4 linked regions of the Mus musculus genome follow. Each later gene encodes a partner of the first gene's protein in a complex. Links are inferred from orthologs where the notes say so. Each region holds a gene or a part of one and is shown in the gene's direction. Other genes may lie near its edges. The genes, in order: Taf4, Taf13, Taf12 and Taf11.

Evidence for each region.
Region 2: Taf4 (region 1) and Taf13 share a complex: the UniProt entries of both Homo sapiens proteins name them as parts of the TFIID basal transcription factor complex. The link is inferred for Mus musculus from reciprocal best matches to the Homo sapiens genes TAF4 and TAF13.
Region 3: the proteins of Taf4 (region 1) and Taf12 are in contact, whole or in part, in a crystal structure (PDB 1H3O), measured with the Homo sapiens proteins. The link is inferred for Mus musculus from reciprocal best matches to the Homo sapiens genes TAF4 and TAF12. Residues at the interface, in NP_003176.2 of Homo sapiens: Phe872, Leu873, Leu874, Pro877, Leu878, Arg880, Arg881, Ile882, Ile885, Gly886, His889, Gly890, Ile891, Thr892, Glu893, Leu894, His895, Asp897, Val898, Tyr901, Val902, His904, Ala905, Thr906, Gln907, Gln908, Arg909, Leu910, Gln911, Leu913; in NP_001128690.1 of Homo sapiens: Val57, Leu58, Thr59, Lys62, Leu63, Leu66, Val67, Glu69, Val70, Glu74, Met83, Leu84, Ile87, Ala88, Asp89, Phe91, Ile92, Glu93, Val96, Thr97, Cys100, Ala103, Arg104, Ser108, Ser109, Thr110, Leu111, Glu112, Val113, Lys114.
Region 4: Taf4 (region 1) and Taf11 share a complex: the UniProt entries of both Homo sapiens proteins name them as parts of the TFIID basal transcription factor complex. The link is inferred for Mus musculus from reciprocal best matches to the Homo sapiens genes TAF4 and TAF11.

Annotation. Positions count from the first base shown.
Region 1 is NC_000068.7:179,934,467-179,939,282, reverse strand, and holds part of Taf4 (transcription initiation factor TFIID subunit 4), read left to right. Parts: intron 1-752; coding exon 753-872; intron 873-3,271; coding exon 3,272-3,391; intron 3,392-4,131; coding exon 4,132-4,254; intron 4,255-4,816. UniProt on the Homo sapiens protein: The TFIID basal transcription factor complex plays a major role in the initiation of RNA polymerase II (Pol II)-dependent transcription.
Region 2 is NC_000069.6:108,569,839-108,575,437, forward strand, and holds the start of Taf13 (transcription initiation factor TFIID subunit 13), read left to right. Parts: upstream 1-1,860; 5' UTR 1,861-1,883; coding exon 1,884-1,910; intron 1,911-3,041; coding exon 3,042-3,120; intron 3,121-5,599. UniProt on the Homo sapiens protein: The TFIID basal transcription factor complex plays a major role in the initiation of RNA polymerase II (Pol II)-dependent transcription.
Region 3 is NC_000070.6:132,272,153-132,277,706, forward strand, and holds the start of Taf12 (transcription initiation factor TFIID subunit 12), read left to right. Parts: upstream 1-2,222; 5' UTR 2,223-2,335; exon of another isoform or gene 2,336-2,405; intron 2,406-4,470; exon of another isoform or gene 4,471-4,632; intron 4,633-5,554. UniProt on the Homo sapiens protein: The TFIID basal transcription factor complex plays a major role in the initiation of RNA polymerase II (Pol II)-dependent transcription.
Region 4 is NC_000083.6:27,904,396-27,909,945, reverse strand, and holds the start of Taf11 (transcription initiation factor TFIID subunit 11), read left to right. Parts: upstream 1-2,201; 5' UTR 2,202-2,274; coding exon 2,275-2,445; intron 2,446-4,535; coding exon 4,536-4,684; exon of another isoform or gene 4,685-4,765; intron 4,766-5,550. Other genes in the region: Anks1 (ankyrin repeat and SAM domain-containing protein 1A), read right to left, coding at 300-484. UniProt on the Homo sapiens protein: The TFIID basal transcription factor complex plays a major role in the initiation of RNA polymerase II (Pol II)-dependent transcription.

The DNA of each region.
Region 1 (4,816 bases):
GTCCCAGTGTGCAGTGCCCCCACACCCTCAGCACCGTAAGCGCAGGGTCTGTAGCACACTCTCTTCTGTGCCTTGTGTGGCCTTGCTTTTGTCTGGTGCCTTCCCTGAATAGCTGACAATTAAGAGATGGCGGAGGAATCCTGCCTGATACTCCCTCTAGAGTTGTGCCCTGTCCTGAAGATGGGCTGTCTGTGATGGAGGTGGGCAGAGCTCCCATAGGAAACGACAGAGAGCACCTCTGCAGTGTTGTTTCCTGAGGAGGAAGCATGTGGACTGCTGTGGGAGGTTCTCTGTGGCGGTGGTACCTCTCATCTGACCTTGTGCCTGAACTCACGCTGCTCTGGTCACCTCAGGGCTCCGGGCATCTCCATCCTGCTTGACTCTGTCTCCCTTTCACACTCTTTCACACTCTGTGTCTAGGACTCAGGGCATCTCCACTCTCAGTTCAGGCCAGTGTCCCATAAGAGCATTGCCACAGCTGGCTTTCCAGATGTCTGCTTTAAAAGACGGCGTTTCGTAGACTTCACTAAAAGAGACTGTTTTTAGGATTTTCCATGAAAAGTTTCTCATCATAATTTTTTATTTTGGGCTTTGACTGATTTCCTTGTAGGTTAGTAGTAAGCAGTGGATTACTTGAGTGCAGTGGTGTATTTTTAAGAGTCTGTGTATACGCATGTGCACACATACATGTGCACAGGTGTAGGTACTACTTACGGTAGCTCATTTTAGATGATTTTTAACTTATTTTCCAGGCTCCAGGAACACCTATTATTGCACGGCAGGTGACCCCAACTACCATAATTAAGCAAGTGTCTCAGGCCCAGACGACGGTACAGCCCACTACAACCCTACAGCGATCTCCCGGGGTACAGGTAAGAGGATGCAGCCTAGTGCATCAGTAGGGATGCATGGCTGACAATGCATGCTTTTGCTTCGATGTAAACACTAGGCTTTAGGGTACCAGGTTGAATTTGAGGATGCAGGGGGTCAATGAAGAAAGTGATTTTTCTGTGTCTGAATGCAGGCTACATCTTTTCCTTATTTAGCATTGGCAGCATTCAAAAGCTCTTTATAAAATGTAATTAGGAACGTCACCTCATTAATATTTGACTCAGAGCATCTTTGAGGAGGGAGTCTGTGCTGAGGAGAGTTTGTGTCTGTGCTGTGGCCCCATTACATGCTCATGGACGGTGCTACTAGTGTGTGTGCAAGGTGTCCTCTCAACTTCCTGTGGCAAATTTGTAGATGAGCTAGGGAGGGGAGAGTGGGGGAGGGGCATTCTCCCTAGCCTTGCTTTCCTAGTGTCAGTGCTCCAGGGAGCAGCAGGGGAGTTACCTGCAGACCCTGGCCTTACCTGATCAACCTGTGCAGCTTCTAGCGTATAAAGCCAAGGGGAGCTTCCGTGCCAGGGGCTCCTCCTTGCAGAGGCTGAAGCAGATGTTAGGCGTGGTGGAAAGGACTGGTTAGGGAGGGCATAACATGTTTGCAGAGATGTACTTGGTGAAGACACATCTGATCAGGGAAACACTTGTAGGGAAGATGTCATTGGCTGGGGAGGCAAACATTGGTTAGGGAAGCTCACTCTCTGGGCACTCATTTGGGAGTAGGTGGGAAGCAAAGAGCCTCAAAGGCTCCTGATGTTGAGTTTGGAGCAGTCATACAGTACAGGGCTTTGAGCTCTAACCACGTTGGATTCGTGCTCACTCATACATGATCTTAGCTGAAGTGTTCCTGATTAGCTGCACCTCGTCCCAGTGGAGCCTGAACTGAGTGAGGGCGGTCCACACGGGGGCTTCTCTGAACTTTTCTGAACTCAGCTCCAACTTTTCTGAGTTCAGCTCCATTTTCTTCAGTAGCTGTGGAGAGCAAGAATATCTTGGAGAACGGTTCTGTGAGTCAGGAGAGAGGCCTGTGTGTTTCAGAAGCTGGAGTCTGGGAGACCTGCGGTTTCCTGAGGGGAACTTGTAGTGCTGCCTGTGCCTGACTCCAGCGTCTGCTTCTCTGAGGAGGAGGAAGAGGCTCTAGAAGCTACTGAAGTGCTTGGTAAATTGTGTGTCACGTTTTAATGGTGACAAATGCTTTGAGGTTAGTGGACAGTTTACAGTCAGGGTGAGTGTGTCCCTTGCCATAGCTGTCAGCTGGAGTGAAGGAAAGATGGCAAGAAGGGTCTGAGTCCTGCTGTCCCTGGCTTGTTGAGTCAACTCTTAGTTTGTTTTTGCATATTATCTTCACATGTTTTGGTTTGGTGGGCAATACGTGCTTATCATACAGAGACAATTATCACCCCTGAATCTGTTGCCAGCTGCAGGGTAACTTGGGGGCCAAGAGGCCTGGAGGTAGCTTAGTACTTGTACAGCTCTCTCATAAGCACCTGTGGCTGGGATCCTCCAAGGCTTTCTCTAAGGGGGCTGAAGATTTGCCTAAAGCTGCTCTAGAGCTCTCCTTGGTGTGGGTGTGAGATGTCACACTGCTCCCTGCTTTCAGATGAAGGGAGGGGACAGTGTTTAATAAACTGGAGTGAGGAAATGTGGGCAGCTAAATTTGTAAATTGGAGAGGTAATAATGTAAAAACCGGTAAATATTTCATTGTGATTATTCAAGAATAGAGAAATCTTAGGAAAGAGACTAAGGGTCAGTGGTTTGGAGAGTCTGAGCCTGTTGACATCTAAGTGCCCATTTGCGTTGCAAATGTTTTATGTTCGGTCAAGGAGTACCTTCCCACAGCTGGGCCAGTGCCTGTGACCCAGCTCTTATACCTGTGCCTCTGCATGCTGTGGCTTCTCGTCAGGCCTTACTTTTGGAAAGCAGAGCTCGTTAGTGCAGGTACTTGTGGGGAGTGGAGGCCTTTCCCTTGTCTTGGTGGCCTGTACGGACTCTGGCAGATGCTATGTGCTGGGAGGTCACAATTGCTTTCTAGCCAGGGCTCTATGAACAGATTAAAGGGTTCTCAGGAGGAGTGTCTGAGATGACAGCTCATTGTGTATCCAGTCCTCTGTGCTTGTCTCTGTGGTAGCCGTTAGTCAGTGTGACAGATTCTGGACAGTGACAGGTTCAAGCCCCTCAGGTTTATTGTAGATACAAGCATACCTCCATGTGTCTCTGTGGGCCTCAGGTGCGGGGCCAGGGATGCCCTTGGCCACCTCACATGGCTGCAGGAAGGGTGCCTACCTGGCCCTTGTTGAGCCATTTGCTCCCTACGTTTTCAGAAGCTGTTTTACTTTTGGGCTTGTGCTGCTGTTGCGATGCATTCACCTGTGTTTTGACCTTCTAGCCTCAGCTGGTTCTGGGTGGCTCCGCACAGCCAGCCTCACTTGGAACAGCCACAGCTGTTCAGACAGGGACACCTCAACGAACAGTCCCTGGGGCCAGCACCACCTCTACAGCTGCCACGGTAAGAACTCCCTTTGAGACGCCTATGGGCAAAGCCATTGGTATTAGTGGGGAAATGGAGCTGGTATATACAGGGGCTTGAGAATATTTTGGGGCCCACAAGCCAACCAAGAGCAGTGGTGCATTGAAGGGACCCACGTGAGAGCTTGGGTCTGTCTTCCCCTTATGGGGTGACCTGCACATGCTGGCCTCTGAGGAATGGTAGGAAAGGGCCCTGAGCGTCCTACTTGGGATCTAGGACCCTACAGAGACCTGTGGAAGCCACATATATGTAGCTGCTGAGCACCTGTGGTCTGGGTGTCTGTCTGTCTATCTGTCTGTCTGTGTTTGTCTTCACTACTTTTCCTTTATGTACCTGGAGTTTTAGAGAAGCTGGGACCCTATTTTGCAACTTCTCTTTTTGTATTCTTTGCCAAGTACTTTTAACCATTTCCAGGAGCTGCCTGGGACTTTGTGTGCTTGTGCACATTTAGGCAAGCAGCAGCCCCTGTCCCGACGTAAGGGCAGTGTCTTGGTGGATGCAGCCTTCCCTTAAAAGGGCTGGTTGAGAGACGCAGACTTGGTGGCCTTCAGAGTGGCTGATTGCCCTTCAGAGAAGATTATGGCTCATGCAAGAAGTAGTGTGGTTTTGAAGGAAGTTGAGATGCTGAGTTTACATTTTTCAGACCTGTACACATTTCACTGCAGTGGGGTCCTGTGGGGAAATCTCCTGTAACTTACACCTGTTTTATTTTAATACAGGAAACTATGGAAAATGTGAAAAAATGCAAAAGTTTTCTATCTACATTAATAAAACTGGCTTCCTCTGGTAAACAGTCTACAGAGACAGCGGCTAATGTGAAAGACTTAGTACAAAACTTACTGGTAAGTTCACATGAAACCCTCTGCCTCACCATGCTGTGTGACCTGCAGCCCATGTGCAGCCTGTAGGGCGACCTGCGTGTGCAGGTGAGAGCCTGTGGAAGGATCTAGTGCTGGGGTGCTGGGGTGGGGGATGCACTGTTGCCAAGATGTGTGCATTGCTTGGCATGACTTTTCTGGGGACTTGGCTGATACCCCAGTGTTCCTTCTGCACTTAGATGGGTCAGGGGATGTGCCAGCACTAGGGAGGGAGGGAGGGAGGGAGGGTGGGTGGGTTGGTTAAAGGGCTCCTTTAGAAGTACCTGCCTGTGCTTGAGAGTCATAGAACATATGTCTGACAGCCAGTGTTGCTTCAGGTGGCAGCCCACTGTATCCTTCCTTCCCCTTTTAAAACTGAAGGAAACAGGAAGGGTCCTTAAACTCCAGTTTGTAGATAAGGGGTCTCTGCATCTGCCTCTGGCCCTGCTCCTCTTCTCACCCCTTGAACATGTGATGCTGGTCTCTGAAAGGTGCCTGTGTTACTGGTGTGCAGAACTGACTTCTGCCATTGGTTGGTGCTCCTGTG
Region 2 (5,599 bases), on another chromosome or scaffold:
TCCAGATATGTGAGACATGAGCCTCTCTCTCCCTCCTGTGTGGGATATTTCAATCCAGAGAAAATTGGCAAATGACAGTATAGCTAATGATTGTCAGCCATTGCTACTCTGTTTTCTAAAGGTCCTCATTTTGGTTAATTTCTGTGGGTCCTTGCCCTCTGAGCCCTGTCCACCCTCAGCAATGGCTGGCTATGAGATGTTTTTTCTGTCATTTGACATCTTTCCTCCAACTCTAAACTAGACTCCGGAGTCCACGCTAAACTTGTAGAGGAAGCACAGGGCTGTTCACTCTGCTTTGTGCCTGTTCTGCTCATTTGTTTTTCCCAGTTTCCATTTTGGAGTTTGAGTTAAGAGGGTTGAATTATCCATGCTTCATAGTTTATACGCTGATAGCGTAAGTGTCTATAGTCCTTTCCTTTTTACTTATACATATTTATACATATTTATTTATGCCCTATTTCCACCTTTTCTGTGTTGCCATCTTTCTGATATATTTAATGTCTCTGCTTTTTGTTTATTTGTTTGTTTGGTTTGGTTTTTCGAGACAGGGTTTCTCTGTGTAGCCTTGGCTGTCCTAGAACTCACTCTGTAGACCAGGCTGGCCTTGAACTCAGAAATCCGCCTGCCTCTGCCTCCCAAGTGCTGGGACAAAAAGCATGGACCACCACTGCCGAGCTTTGGTTTTCTTGTTTTGACTATGTAGCCCTGGCTGGCCTCTAACTCAAAGAGATCTTCTGGCTTCTGCCTCCCAAGGCAGGGATTAAAGGCGAGTGCCACTACACTTAGCTCTTTCATAATTTTAAAATATTTTCTTATTATTGTGTATGGAAGCCAGAGGACAACCTTGCAGACTCTGTCTTCTCACCTTTCACTTTTTATACAGGTCCCAGGGATTGAACCTGAGCCTTAGGCTTATTCCGCTAGAGCTTTTATTGACTGAACCATTTCTCTAGCACATCTTTTGTAATTTAAAAAAAAAAAAAAGAAGAAGAAGCAAAAAACGGCCGGGCAGTGGTGGCGCACGCCTTTAGTCCCACCACTTGGGAGGCAGAGGCAAGCGGATTTCTGAGAACGAGGCCGGCCTGATCTACAGAGTGAGTTCCAGGATAGCCAGGGCTACACAGAGATACCCTGTCTTGAAAAAACCAAAAAAAAAAAAAAAAAAAAGCGCAAAACAACCTTCCAACCCAAACTACATATATATATTGCGTATTAACGGAGGCAGGAAAGATTGCTCCGTGGTTAAGAGTATTGGCTGCTTTTCAAGAGACTTGAGTTTGATTCCTAGCCCCTATATAGCGGTTCACAATCGTCTATCTCTAGTTCCAGGAAATCGGTTGCTCTATTTTGGCTTCTTTGGTGCTGCACACACATGGTACACATACTTGCCGGCAAAACACCTATTTACATAAAAGAAAGTAGATATATAATTATATAATAATATAGATACTATATATAATATCATGGGGCTTGTGTACTTGAGTGGATCAGCCCCAGAGGCAAAAAGTCATCCTATTTTTACAGGCATTTGTGAGCCTCCGTAAGTATGCACAAATTTATCACTTATGTTTTCTGAGACATGGGCTCATGAAACTTGAGCTGATCTCGAACTCGAAGCCCTCTTGCCTCTGCCTGCCAAGTGCAGAGATTTCCCGGCGTAGTATACCACGCCTGGCTTCTTTGTAATTTTTAATTCCTCCTTCAGGATTCCACACGTAAGAGCACGTCACTGACTTCCAGCCAATCCCAAGGCCGGGGTTGGGTAGGAGAATGAACGCGCACGCCTCTCTGCGCAACGCTGGCCAGGCCGGAAGTGACGTACGTATCTTATAAAACTCGCCAGCCGCCGGTGGGCGGGTTCAGAAGGCTGGCGAGCAGCTAGCATGGCAGATGAGGAGGAAGACCCCACCGTGAGTGAGCGCCTGTCTCAGCCTGGTTCCTCACTCCTTTCGGATCACTAGCGGAGGCAGAGTCTGACCCGCTTGTGCCTTAGGGATTCCCGCCGAGAGTCCGGGGGCTCCGCGGTGTTTTCCTTTTTTGGTTTACCTTAGTCAGTGCGTGGGACAAGACGGGAAGGAAGAGTAGAAAGGGTCTCTCTTTGACCTGGATCTTCCCGACACTAAGACATCTAGAGGGTCATAGGAGATCAAAGCTGATTAAAGCGGAACCAGCAGCCCAGATGCTGACAAAACTAGTGAAGATAGCGGAGAAACGATGAACTAAAGACAGGAAGCTTGGGATCCAAATTCTCCTTTGGCATCGGTTTTCTTGTGAGGTAGAGTCCAGCCCAGTTAAGGAAAGTTCTTAGCCCTTTATCAGTTGCTTCCGATGACAGCAGAGAGTAGATTTTAAACTACCAGGTTTTTACAGTAGTCTTGCTTAGCAGTGTGACAACTAAATTGGCTAAAACCAAACCCAGAACCTGAGGTCGTTAGAACTTTACACACGCACGGTTGTAAGGTTGTTAGCAGCCGTAATAAAAGCCTTCTTGCACGACTTGAGAATTGGACTAGGGCTTATGAGCCCTTTGGTGCTAAATTTTCGTGGTTTTGTGCAGTTTGCTTTAGCTTCTCACTTTCGAAAATGAAAAAGGGTCACTGGGCGTGGTGGCGCACACCTTTAATCCCAGCACTCAGGAGCAGAGGCAAGCGGATCTCCGTGAGTTCAGGCAGACACGGGCACATAGTGAGACCACTTTGTCTCAAAAAAAAAAAAAAAAAAAGTGTAGAGAGATAGCTTTAGTGCTTAGGAGCATTTGCTGTCACATCTGGCAACCTACAGCGATTAGACCTAGTTTGGCCTCTATGGGCAACAGCAGGCACATTTATGTAGGCACACAATACACATAAATAATAAATGCCTTTAAAAAAAAAGATGAAAAGAGTGCAGGAGGTGTAGCTCAGTGGTCAAGCATCTGTTTAGCATCGTGAGCTCGTGGGTTCAATTCACAGCACTCCACAAAGAGGGCGAGCAGGAGGAGACTCGAGGGAATATCACGTGCACTGCAATCATTTGCCATGTCCGTGTTTTAAAATTTCTAGTTTGAGGAGGAGAATGAAGAAATTGGAGGAGGAGCGGAAGGTGGCCAGGGGAAGAGAAAGAGACTTTTCTCGAAAGAATGTAAGTTGTACTTTCTAGTGTTTTTATTACAGGTGGTGAAAGCTTTTGAACATGTCTTTTCAGAGTATATTGTTCTGCATATGTTTGTTTATAGGGACAGTGTTCTCAGAGTTGCCTATAAGGTTGCCTGTTTTTATTCTTGGTGTTTGTTTGTTTGTTTGTTTGTTTTAAAGATAGGCTCTGTATAGCCAAGGCTATACTGGTGCTTACTGTTTAGCCCATGCTAGCCTTGGTTTGGTGGTAGTCCTGCTTTAGCCTCTCAAGTCCTGGGATTGCAGGTGTGCATCCCATGGTCAGTATAAGTCTCTCTCATGTCTACTAATTCTCTCTGTGTGACATAAAATAATGAATGTGATCACCTCTGCCCTCCTCCTTGAGGCAGGGTTTTTTTGTTTTGTTTGTTTTTGTTTTTCTTTTCCTTTTTTGAGGCTTGGTTTTTCTGTGTAGCCCTGGCTGTCCTAGAACTCTTTCTGGAGTTTAGAATAGATCAAGATCTGCTAGTCTTGAACTCACAGAGATGTGCCTGCCTGCCTCTGCCTCCTGGGTGCTGGGATTAAAGCTGTGAACCACCACCACCCAGCTGAGGCAGGGTTTTTAGATCCCAGCATGATTTCAAACTTGGTATGCATATGCGTATAACCTTGAACTTGCAAGAACCTTGCAAGAACCTTGAACTTCTGCTCTCCTATCTGTTTCCCTGGCTCTAGATGTACAGGCATATGCCATGGCTCCCAGTTGACATTTTGAACGTTGTATCCCTCTTGTGTCCACCTTTCAAATGATGTAAGTTGAGGCTTTGGACTAAGGCATAGCTCAGGGCAAGAAGGTGGTGAAGTGTGCTGTGGAGATGACAGTGCACTAGCCTTCCATGGTGCTCCTTAAACAGACAGGTAGCCCTTGGGGCAGCGCAGGGTGAGCGGTGTCCACTTGTTGTGCCCATACTAATTCCTGAAAGGCCCATGAGACTGCACTCTCCATCCCTTCTCCCAGGCTCCTTGGCTGAGCCTTGGGAAGTACAGCGGCAGAGATTTATAAATGCCTGAGTACAGTAGGATTGAAAAATTCTAGAAACTGCAAGATCAGCCTTTAACTCTCTAAATCTTTTTTGATCCCAGCTCTTGGGAGAGATAGGGATGGGAGAATTTGAGTTCAGGGTCTTCCTCATTGAGTTTGAAGGCAACTTCGGCTGTATCTTACAACCATAACAGAAATCCTCACTAGTACCTTCCAGTTTCGTTCAAGTCTGACCACTTCCCATTCTGTCTCACTGATGCTAGTTACGTGATTTGTGTGTGGTTTTACTCCTTATGTGGACATATGAAAACGACCCTTACACTAAAGTGCTCTAGGAATGGTATTCACCCTGCTGCTTGTCCAAACCTTTAGTTCAGTTTCAACTGCTCTACTTTTGTGATGACAAAAATTTGGAATCTTCGCAGGCTTCTCCCACTGACTTAATAGAATCTTCATGTCTCTTCTATTTTTGCTGGGGTTTTTTTTGTTTGTTTGTTTTGTTTTTGTTTTTTGTTTTGGACAGGGTCTTGCTGTGTGGTCCAGGTTGACCTTAAACTATTGTTTCTCTTGACTCCATGATTCCCTCCTTCTACCATGTGATGGTACTCAGAAGGTACCAGATATGGAACTCAGGTCTTCAGGCTTGGCAGCAGGTGACCTTATGTGCTGAGCTATCTCCCTGGGCTACATTATTATTATTATTATTATTATTATTATTATTATTATTATTACATCATTTTCCCCCCTTCCCTTTCATCCCTCCAAACCCTCCCATATACTCCTCCTTGCTTTTTCAAATTCATAGGCTCTTTATTAATTGTTGTTGTATATATACACATATGTACATACATTCTCTCTCTCTCTCTTTCTCTCTCTCTCTCTCTCTCTCTCTCTCTCTCTCTCCAAGTATGTCAGGACAACTTGCTCTGTCTGTTTTCAAGGGCTTACCACTGGTTTGGACAGCCAGTTGGTGTGCTTAAGGCTGGGAAGACTGCTCCACCCTTTCCCAGAATTCCTTAGTTGCCTGCAGTTCTTCTAGGAGAGTTGAAGCCTCCTGGGCTTCCCCCTCTCCACATTAGCGTGTCTGTTTTTGTTGCCCTGGGCAGCTTGTTTGATTTTGAGACAGGGTTTCCTATAGCCTAGGCTGCTTTGTCACTGAACTTGAACTTCTGATCCTCCTGCCTTTACTTCCCAAGTGCTGAGATTATAGGGGTGTGCCACCATAACCAGTTTTATTCACTTCTGGGAATCTAACCCAGGGCTCTACGAATGCTAAATAGGACCTTCCTGACTGAGCCGCATGCCCAGCCCTACAGATTTCTTTTTCTTATTGTAACATGGAGTTTCAAAGGATCTCCTGTCATTTGTCTATGCTTTACTAACCCTTTGGCCAAATATGTGCATCTTATATAACAAATTTTCTACTCCCAATGAGATAGGTGAATTATGCCCATCAAAATGTTAA
Region 3 (5,554 bases), on another chromosome or scaffold:
GGATATTGGGGACGGCATGCAGATCCTTACATTTGCACACCACGTTCCTAACGTTCCTACCCACTCGTGAGCCCTTCCCCCGCCCCTAATGTTCTTACATTAAAAAGAGTGTGTAGAAGAAGCAGATGAATACTTTTGAAACAAACAAACAAAAAAATAGACTGTTGGGCATTACACTTTAATAACGTATGGAGTTCCCTGCCCTTTATAAAGTAGGAGCTACAAAAGAAAGGAGATTCATAAATGGGAAGAGGTGTAGTTGAAACTGGTGAAGCCGGGCGTGGTGGTGCACGCCTTTAATCCCAGCACTTGGGAGGCAGAAACAGGCAGATTTCTGAGTCCGAGGCCAGCCTGGTCTACAGAGTGAGTTCCAGGACAGCCAGGGCTATTCAGAGAAACCCTGTCTGGAAACCCCAAAAAAAAAAAAAAAAAAAAAAAAAAGAAAGAAAGAAAAGAAAAGAAACTGGTGAGGAGCCCAGTGGTGCTACCCTCTGTCCATCAAGGGGCCCTTCTATAATCCAAGTGTTCATTTATCGCCACACACTTTATTTGACACATGCACCTACTGTGGAGCAGTGGCTAGCTTGAAAACCAGGCTGGCCTCAAACTCAGAAACTGACTTGCCTCTGCCTCCCGAGAGTAGGGGCCAATGGTTTGAGCCAAGATACCCATCCACCCTACCCATCCACCCAATGCTTCCTTAAATACAAATTACCATCTCAATCCTCAGTTTTCATGCCTTTCCACTGAACACTGAATAAAATCCACCCCCCATTTCCACCTGTCCCTTCCTGTCCCCTAACCAAACTTCAGCCTTACTGCTCATCTAGTCTTTTTTTTTGTTTGCTTGTTTTTTTGAGACAGGGTTTCTCTGTGTAGCCCTGGCTGTCCTGGAACTCACTCTGTAGACCAGGCTGGCCTCAAACTCAGAAATCTTGCCCATGCCTCCCAAGTGCTGGGATTAAAGGCATGAGCTAGCACTGCCTAGCGCCTGTAAACTCTTAAGGACAATGATGACTGACTTCCCCAACAGGATATACCCAGCACACAGCAAAAAACAAAAACAAAAACAAAAAAACAGTTTAGTACATCCAAGGATGCAAGCACAAAAACTGATTGGCCAAACTCTGAGAACCATGATAGAAAAATAAAGCTGGGGCTTGAGAGGTGGCTTTCTCTCGAACCTGGCAGTCTTGCAGAGGGCCTGGGTCAATGCCAGCAGTCACATGGTGGCTCACAACTATCTGTAACTTCAATTGCAAGGCTTCAGATACCCTCTTCTGACCTCTTTGTGCACCAGGAATGCACATGGTGTACATATATAAATGCAGACAAAACACTTTTCCGCATAAAATAAATCCAAAAAGAAAAATAAGGTTATAAACAGTTTGCCACTTAATGGTTAAGCCCTTGCATCCAGGATTTTGGACCAAGAGGGTGGATGAGCCTAATGGGATGAAGATACAAAGATAGAATGGATTCTTTATGGGCAGGAACCGTTGATAGCTCTGAGATGTCAGACTTCTATACACTCGTTTGCGAGATCTCTATTTTACTAAGAATCCTTGCCGGGGACTGAAACTGCCTGTTGCTTACATGCCTAGCAAAAAAAAAAAAAAAAAAAGTACTCAAATCTCAGGGCTTAGTGGTTTAACAGTTACTGTACCAGCCCGGGCTTTGGAGTAAGAATTTTCAATTCAAGTTGAGAACCTACATCCCTTAGGAATTTCACGTTTCTTCCACTATTACATGACATACTCCAAGTGAGGGACTGAACCAGTCCCTCACAGACAGCTCTCGTCCAAGTGTATGTTGACTACAGATTAACTAATAGGCACAATCAGCTTCTCTAGTCTCCAAGTTCTCGTGCTGGTTGAGAGTCCCATAGTTGGTATCTATGCAGAACTGCGGTCCCATCCTTATAGCACCACAAAGGCACCAACCAAAAATGGCGACTTGGAAGCTCTCCGAGGCCGTCGGTTACCGGTCACGCTCGTGAAAGAGATGAGTCGTAAAGAAACATCTAGGACAGGGATTCACGCCGTGGTAGGGGACGCAGAGTAGACCCACGCCACCAGCAAGCCACACAGAGCAGAAAGCCCGACCTGCCAAGCCAGGCGCTGGGCTCACAGTCCTACCACGTGTTGTAGTACCATCTGCGCCTGCGCTAGTGAGGCGCGCGCCCGGCGGCCGGAAGAGCCGCGCGTTTCCGGGTTGGAGGCGGGGAGCGGTGCCGGAAGTGCTTGGGGAGGGCCGCGCAGTCGGACCGGCTGCTGAGACGAAAGCTTCACTGGGGCAGTCTCCGCATATCATGGGGAGATAGACGCTGCTGCCTGTGAGTCTTGGGCCCTGGCAGTTGAGGACGAAGAGCGGGAGGAGGGTGTCAGGACCCAGACCCACAGCGGGTCAGTGCTGGAAGAACTAGGCTGTGGAAGAGACGGGGCTGAGGAGCCCAGGCTCTTGGGACGGGACTTGAGGGGTTCGGGCTCGCAGAAGCAGCGGCTGTTGGGGACTCGAGCTCTGAATGAGAGACTTAGGAAACGGGGACGGATGTGGATTCTGCAGCATCTGAGGGAAAGCCTTCTGAGAGGGACAGGATGGTGAGGATCCCGCACTTTATAGGAGGCGAGGGTAGGAACGAAACGGGGCGTGAAGACACAGGCTCCAGAGAGGTAAAAGTGGAGCCCGAGAGGACTCGGGCTCCTAAGAGACAGAAGCGGGACAGTAAAGTCCCAGCTCCTAAGGATTCAGAAACCGGGCAGCAAAGACTTGAGGACTGGAGCTAGAGAAGGAGGCAGAGAAGACTTGAATTTGAAAGGGAATCGAAGCGGGCAGTGAGGACTGGGTCTTCTTTGGGGACAAGATCCGGGCTTTCAGACTCAAGAGTTTCTGGAGGGACAGAGATGTAAGGACCCGAGCTCCTAAAAGTGAAGGAACTAGGGGGTCCTTAACGGCTGGGAGATCAGCCTTCAAGGGAGAAAAGTTGAAAAGGTTTAGCGATCTGTTCTCTGTACCCGGAGGATTAGGATATATATATTCGGGGGAAGACTTCTTGGCGCTGCCTATTTGGCTTTTGGCATTTAGGCTTTTTCTTGTGTCCGTTACTTAACCTAGAAAAGCCACATGAAACGTCTTCGTTTTTCTTCATTATTGTGAATCAGATGTGAAGCTGAAAGCAGTTTGAACTCAGTTATATACTTGATAAGTACCTTAAGCCCTGTTCCATTCAGCCCCCGTTGAGCACAGATCTCTATATCACTAGCAAACTGTCATAGATGGAAGGGCAGCAAAAGAACACTTTGAATTCTTTTACATTTAAGAAAAAGAGGATGCAAAGAGGGATTAGGATCACTGTGAGCCAGATTCTTAGGTTATACAGTACTCTACCATGTACATCGAAGAAGAGATGCTTGCTTGAAATTATTTGAATAAATGCTTTTAGAATCTCTACCCTCAAACTCAGAAGGGATTTTTTTCTAACGGATTTTAATATTTTAGTACCTATTATGTATGGCATTGGCATAAATGTTACAAGGGAGGAAACAAACTTTTAAGTGAAAAGTCTTTTATTTATTTTATTTATTTATAAATTTTATTTTTCAATAAGATGTTGAGAAATTCACAAGTAAATGTGGCCTAGAACATTTTCTAGGGATTGCTTTTAGAAGAGTGACTTGGACCCTGTCATTTCCCTTCATAAAGACCCAGGACTGAAACCTACTCAGATGAATCGTGCACAACTTAAGCACTTTGGGCTTTTTGTTCTGTTTTCTTTTGGTTTGTTTGTTTGTTTGTTTGTTTGTTTTCAAGACAGGGTTTTCTGTGTAGCCCTGGCTGTCCTGGAACTCACTGTGTAGACCAGGCTGGCTTCAAAGTCAAGTCCACCTGCCTCTGCCTCGGAGCGTTCGGTTTAAAGGTGTGCACCTCCACCATGAACAACTTAAACACTTTTAAGTATTCCACCCCTTCCTTATCACAGCCCCACAGTTAAGTATGGTTAGTCCTGTTGTCTGTCCAGAGAGGTTAAGGGGTTTGTCATAAAGTACTGAGTAGCTTATCTGCAAATGTGCCTCCAAAGCTTTCTTGAGCTTTTCTAAGTGGATTTCCTGCCATGTGTAGTATGCATGTGAATGAAATATAAGTAATATTTATAAATCCTTCCACTGAATGAAAGCACACCCCTCCTCCCCAAACTACTTAGCTCCCCCTAGCCTGGAAATTGCTGTGTAGACCAGGCTGGCCTCAAACTCAGAGATGCACCTGCCTCTGACTTCAGAGCGCTGGTGATTCAAGGCTACATCACCAAAACCAGCTTCTTAACTCCTTTTCAAGTCAAGGACTGTAACTTTTAAGATACTTCCATAGTATTTGACATCTGAATTCCTGTGTTTTCACAGAAGCATAAATATTCCAGGTAGAATCTTTCCCATAATAGAGTAGGTTATTTTTATTTATTTATTTTTTAATTAGGGCGACATCAGATTAACTTTGCAGTTAATTGCTAGCATATACTCGATGTTGTGAATGCTCGGGCTATAATTCCATTACATTGGAGGTGGAGGCTGGACGATCAGGAGTTCAATGTCAACATAAAACTTTATCTCAAGGAGAAACAGAAGAAGAGCAGATCAGGTGAGGTGGTTCTCCTGGTAAGGTGATTGCCACAAGGAGTGATGATTTGAGTTCAGTCCCTGAGTCCTGCATGGTGGAAGGAGAGAACCAACTCCCAAAATTATCCTCTGACCACATCAGCACAGACACACTGAATAAAGAAAAGGTTGTTTTTTTTTTTTTTTTTTAACATACTTGAAGCTATTATTTTCCCAGGAGCTTAGCTGCTCTATTATTTTTTTTAAGGTTTTACTAAAGGTGATGAGACCCGAACAGCCAGCACACAGAGAAAAACCATCCACAAAGCAAAGGGGGGATTTTTGAAGCCAAAGCCTCTGGTACCATTTTTAAAGATTTGTTTGTTTGTTTATTCATTTCTTATCGGGAAGGGGCATTGAGTCAGGGTCTCTCCGTGTAGTCCTGACTGCCTTGGAACTCTGCAGACCAATTCTGCTGGCCTCAAATTCACAGAGACCCTCCTGCCTCTGCCTCCTTATTTTTTATGTGTATGAATGTTTTGCCTCACTATGTGTCTGTGTACATCGGTGCTTGATTTAGAGTCCTGAAAAGGGCATTGAGTCCCCCTAGAACTGGGTTGTAAGTCATTGTGTGGATGGTGGGGACAGAAGCTAGGCCCTCTGCAAGAGCAACAAGTTCTTTTAACCACTGACCCATCTCCTGTTCCTGATACTGTTTTCAGAAGCCTGCATAAAAGTGATCAGCATTTTTTTATACCAAGTTATGAGCAAAAGCATACCTTTATCACCATCTTGTTGATTTTAATTTGGGAGGTGGCCGTCTTTTTTAGTTAGGGTCTCACTGTGTACCTAAGACTCTGTTGCCTTGGTTTCTTGAATGCTGAGATTATAGGTATGCACCACAATTGATAGTTCAACTAGTGATAATGGATTGCTGAATTAGCATTCTTACCTATATTTACAAA
Region 4 (5,550 bases), on another chromosome or scaffold:
AGGGGAGTCGCGAGGCTCTGCACGGCGTGGGAGTCCCTGCAGGATGTGAGAGGGATTCCGCGAATTCGGTCTGCTCTGAAGCGGCTTTTGTGAGAAGCGACAGCTGGCACCTCACGGCGGGCGAGGGTGACGCCGAGCTGTGCCATGCGGCGCGGGCTGCCACCTGGGCACTCCCCCCATTCTCCGCAGCGGCGACGCCAGACACGAGAGCCCGGCCTGCGCCGCGCGCGCCCCAGGAACCGTGACCTCTCGGGGGAGCCCTCGCAGTCCAGGCTGCGAGCCCCGGCGCGCGCACTCACCTCAGCAGACTGGAGAGCGGGTGGCTAGAAGAACCGAGGCCGCCGCCCCCGGAGCCGCCGCCGCTGCCTGAGCCGCCGCCGCCGCCGCCGAAGCCGGAGGAGAGCCGCTTCCCGGACAGCAGCTTCTCCACGGCCGGGAGGTGCCCGGTGCGGGCCGCCTCCAGCAGCTCCTGCTCCTTCCCCATCCCCAGGACCGCCACCCCTCGGACCTCAACCCGGAGCCTTGCAGAGCCTGCTCCGGCTCCGAAACTTTCCGTCTCCGGGCAACGCACCCCTCAAACCGGCCGGGGACGCCACCCCCTCTCCCCCCGCCTCCTCGGCCTCCCCCACTCCCTGGCGGCGCGTCACTTCCGGGATCCGGCGTCACGCGTCACCGCGCCCCCGCGCCCCGCCCCCTTGCCCACCTAGTGGGCGGGGCTCGGCGCCGCCGTGCAGGTGAGCCCGCTTGGCGGAGGGGAGCCTCGGTGTGCGGAGCCGAGCCTGGCGCAGGCGCGGTCTACGCCTAGCGGACCCGCCCATTCGCCAGGTGGCGGAGATCGGAGGCGGCACGCCTGCAGGAGCTTCCCGAACTGCTCGCCTTCCCAAAGGTTTGGGACCTCATGGCACTGGAAATGCGGTCATTGTTCCTGGCACCGTAGAAACAAAAGAAAAGGGGGTAACGCGTACCTCTGTTTTCAACTCCATTCAAAACGCATAGATTCAATACGGGATAGGCGCGGAGATCTAGAACCAGACTTGAAAAATCCCTCCCTCTGGTGCCTCCTGGAGGGAAGACCTGAGAGTTTTACTTCTGCAGTTAGACTGGCATTGTGGCAACTGCCATTTGTCCCAGCAGTCGAGAAGCAGAAGCCGCTGGCTGCATCGCTGTGAGTTTAAGGTCAGCCTGATCTACAAAGCAAGTTACGGGCTAGCCAAGGCTACATAGTGAGACCCTCTCTCCAGAAAAAAAAAGGTGGGGGGGGGGGAGGGAGTACGGGGGTGGCTGGAGAGGTGGTTCCCTGTTAAGAGCACTGGTTGCTCTGCCAGAGAATCTAGGTTTGATTCCCATCACTTGTGGCGCCTCACAGCAGTCTGTAACTCCAGCTCCAGCGGATGTAACACCTTTTGCTGGCCTCCCAGGGTACCACGAACGCATGTGGAGCTCAGACTTACATGCAAAACACCCATACACATGAAAAAAAAATGTAAGAACTCTTAACAGACACTATCCTCGCACTCCATCCTACTAACTCTTCAGAAAAAGTCAGAAGAGACCTTCTTTCTCTTAGTTGTCATGAGAGACATTTTAAAAGTCAGATTTGGGGAACCATTTCCAATTTTTAATATTGGTGGACTAAGGAGGGAAATGTAATTGGGAAAGGATGACTTTTTTTTTTTTTTCTGTTTTTCCCTCACAACACTAGCCTGTTCTGACGCGAGGCAGGTGGCCAATATTTGAAGTGTTAAATGAAACCATTGGATACTTTCTGTTGGCGTTAGAGATGCTTGCGAAACAGAAGGGAAACTTCCCTGGTGGACACAAGCCGGTGGTCTTAGTTCTTTGGGAAATCCGAGGTTAGGTCGCTGCCGGAAGCTGCTCAGTCCACGGCAACAACAAGCAGCGGGACCGAGTTCTCTCCCTGTTCCCCGACTTTGGGCTGAAGGAGTAAAGTTAAAGAAGGGTTAATTGGCATTACATTCCCAGGAAGGAGAAGAAAAAGAAGGAAAAAGAAGTCTCTCGGGAAACGAATTACGCTCTTTCAAAAACGCTTCTGCCCTGAAGCGGAGGATCTAGACTTCTACATTTCTTTCACATTAAAACAAATTCCGTTTATATGAATCCCCTGGGCAACCAACGCGCTTCTGGAAGTGACCCCTCCCAGGATCCGTGGGCGTGACGTCATCGCGGCGCGACGACGAGCCCTCAGCTCCAGCTCCGCTCCACAGCTCCTTCTCCCGGCGGTGCTGCCATCGCCTCTGACCCCCTGCTCTCGCGATGGACAACCTCGGGGAGTCGCCCACAGACAAAGGCGGGGAGCCAGGGGAGTCAGAGGAGACGAGGGCTACTCCTGGGGCTTTGGTGGCAGCCGACACTGAGGGAATCCCGGAGGAAACCGACAGGGATGGAGACGCGGACTTGAAAGAAGCCGCGGCGGAGGAAAGCGAGGTAGGTGGAAGTTGGTGGATAACGCTGCAGGACTACCCGGGTGCGCTCCTGACTGCTTTCTTCCAAAGCCAGGGAACTAGAATTCCCCCACGACTGTTTGTGAGTCTGCAACCTTGAGGGGCAGGAGAGGGAACGGGAAGGTGTAGGTGCTGTTAGAGCCCTATTCAGGCCTGCTTGTACTCCAGCTCCTTTTGGGGGAAGGCTGAGGAGGAAGGTGGAGGAGACAAGAAGATAAAAGACGAGGAGAAAATGGTTAAGGACAAATAAATTTGAAAATCTGAAGCACAAAGGTTAGAAACACGCGTAGATCAATAGTGGAAAGTAAGTTAGAAAGGCTGTCAGATAGATAATGCCTTCTCTCCCCCTCTCCATATTTCTGTATGAGTTTAAATATGAATTCCTTCCTTCCTTTCTCTCTTTCTCTCTCTCCCTCTCTTTCTTTCTTCTCCTCCTCCTCCTTCTTCTTTCTCCTCCTCCTTCTCCTTCTCTTCTTCCCCTTCTTCCTCTTCTTCCTCCTCCTCCTTCGAGACAGGGTAGCCCTGGCTAACCTGGAACTCAGGTTCTATAGACCACACTGGCTTCGAATTCAGAGATCCCCTTGCCTCTGACTTCCAAGTGTTAGTATCAAAGGCATGTGCCACCACTTCCCGACATACCTTTCATTTTAAAGGAACCATTAAATCTCATTAATGAGTTTTGATGTATTACGATTTTATAGTAAGTTGGCTAGGACAGAGTTTGGATCACTCTTGTGAATAAAACGGTTAAGTGTTTATGTGAGGAGAAATGTAAATAGTAAACATCTTGAAGACGTTTTTAGCTTAGGGCAGGCGAAATTGTTCAGCAGGTCAGGGTGCTTGATCCCCAGAACCCACGTTAAGGTAGAAGCGGACTATCTGCACAAAGTTGTCCACTTACAAACCCACACACATGAATGTCCGTAGTAACTGAAAAATTGTGGGTTTTTAAGAATATTTTTTATATGAATGTTTTGCCTGTGTATTTTTGTTTGCCGTGTAATGTGCCTGGCACATTCCCTGTAAAAGTCAGAAGAAGGCATTAGATCCCCTGAAACTAGAGTTGCTAATGACTGCGAGCTGAAATGTGGGTGTTGGTAAATGGAACCTAGATACTCTGCAAGAACAGCCAATGCTCTTAACCTCTGAGCTTTCTGCAGTTTTTAGTTTAAACTCAATATAATGGTACAAGTCTATAATTTCCACAAGCTGAAAATCCAAAATGAGACTTTGTCTTAAATTACAAAAGGAAAAAAAAAAAAGCTTCCGAACTGGGCATGGTGGTGCACAGCTTTAAGCCTAGCATTCTGGAGGCAGAGGCAGGTGGACCTCTTGAGTACAAGGCAGCCTGGACTACTACAGAGAGAGTTCAAGGATAGCCAGGGCTATGTATAGAAACTCTGTCTCAAATTATTTAAAAAAATAAAATAAATAAAATTTGTATTCTAGTATTGGGAAAGATCTCGTGATCCAGTAGAGAAAGGATCAGAAGAACAGAGCTCTGTTCAGTGTGGAGCTCCCAAGACACACATGGAAGGGACTGTACTGACATCTATGGAGTGAGGTCAGAAGGGTGGGCCCGAGGGAGAGTGGCTGTTTGGATCCTTGGCATTTTCCTCGTAATGTGTAAACAGATGCAGGACCTCTGTATGATCATGGCTAGGCTGGGAAATGGATTATTCATTTTCTTTTTTGTTTTTTGTTTGTTTGTTTGGTTGGTTGGTTTTTCAAGATAGGGTTTCTCTGTGTAGTCCTGGCTGTCCTGAAACTCACTTTGTAGACCAGGCTGGCCTCGAACTCAGAAATCCACCTGCCTCTACCTCCCAAGTGCTGGGATTAAAGGCATGCGCCACCACCACCCAGCGGATTATTTATTTTCTTTCCCAGCTGGAGTATAATCTTCCTTGGAGAGATGGATTGCCTCTTATGCAGATGGTATAGGCAGTGCCTAGAACTAGATAGCTACTGCGTAGACAGAGTTGCTGGGCTGGAAAGAGGAGGGTGTTTGCTGGCCTTTCCCAAACCTGAGAAGTGTGCCGAGTACATAATAAGAGTTTCTGTCCATCTCTCCAGCTCAAGAGTCAGGATGTCTCAGATGTAACAGCAGCCGAGAGGGAAAACTCGTCCTTACTTACTCCTGCAGCCAAAAAGCTGAAACTAGACATTAAGGACAAGAAGGAGAAGAAGCAGAAGGTGGACGAAGATGAGATTCAGAAGATGCAGTGAGTCACAGAGGTCCCCAGTCCAGGCTCTAACTCCACTCTGTACATTCATGCTTACTGGCTTTTTTGTGTGCTTTTGAGGTAAGGGCTCATGAGACTTAAGCCCTTAGCTCAAAGGTTTCAACTCCTGATCTTCCTGCCTCAGCCTACTTAGTACTGAGATCATAGGCATGAGCTGCTATGCCTGGATATAGTTTCAGGCCAGCAAGATGCCAAGGAAAGGTGCTCACCACTGCTCGCCACCGAACCTAATGACCAGGGTTTAATCCTGGGAAACCGCGTGGTAGAAGAAGGAATGAGGGCCTGGAAACTGGCCTCTGACCACCAAACAGGCATGGTCCTGACAGACACAAAATACATGCATACATGTAAAGGACAGTAAATAGTTGGTTTTTCTAAATGTTTGGGCTTTATACTACATTTGGTCATTGTTTTTCCTTTTCAGTAAATATAGGCTCATTGCAAATAACTCAGAATACAAACAAAACAAAACAAACCTCAAAATCCAGCTAGTAGCGCTTATCCCAAGAGTGTCTATCTGGGAATATTTGTGCAATGTCCTCATGGACATCAGTGTCTCCCGCTGCACTGATCTCACCTATGTGTGAGTCACACCATCAGTCCCTGCACTTACTCTGGCTAGGATTTTTTTTTTTTTTTTTTTTTTTTTATTTTTTTTGGTTTTTCAAGACAGGGTTTCTCTGTATAGCCCTGGCTCTTCTGGAACTCACTTTGTAGACCAAGCTGGCCTCGAACTCAGAAATCCGCCTGCCTCTGCCTCCCAAGTGCTGGGATTAAAGGCGTGCGCCACCACGCCCGGCTTGGCTAGGATTTTTTAAATTTTGTTTCTTTTAACAACATCGTGT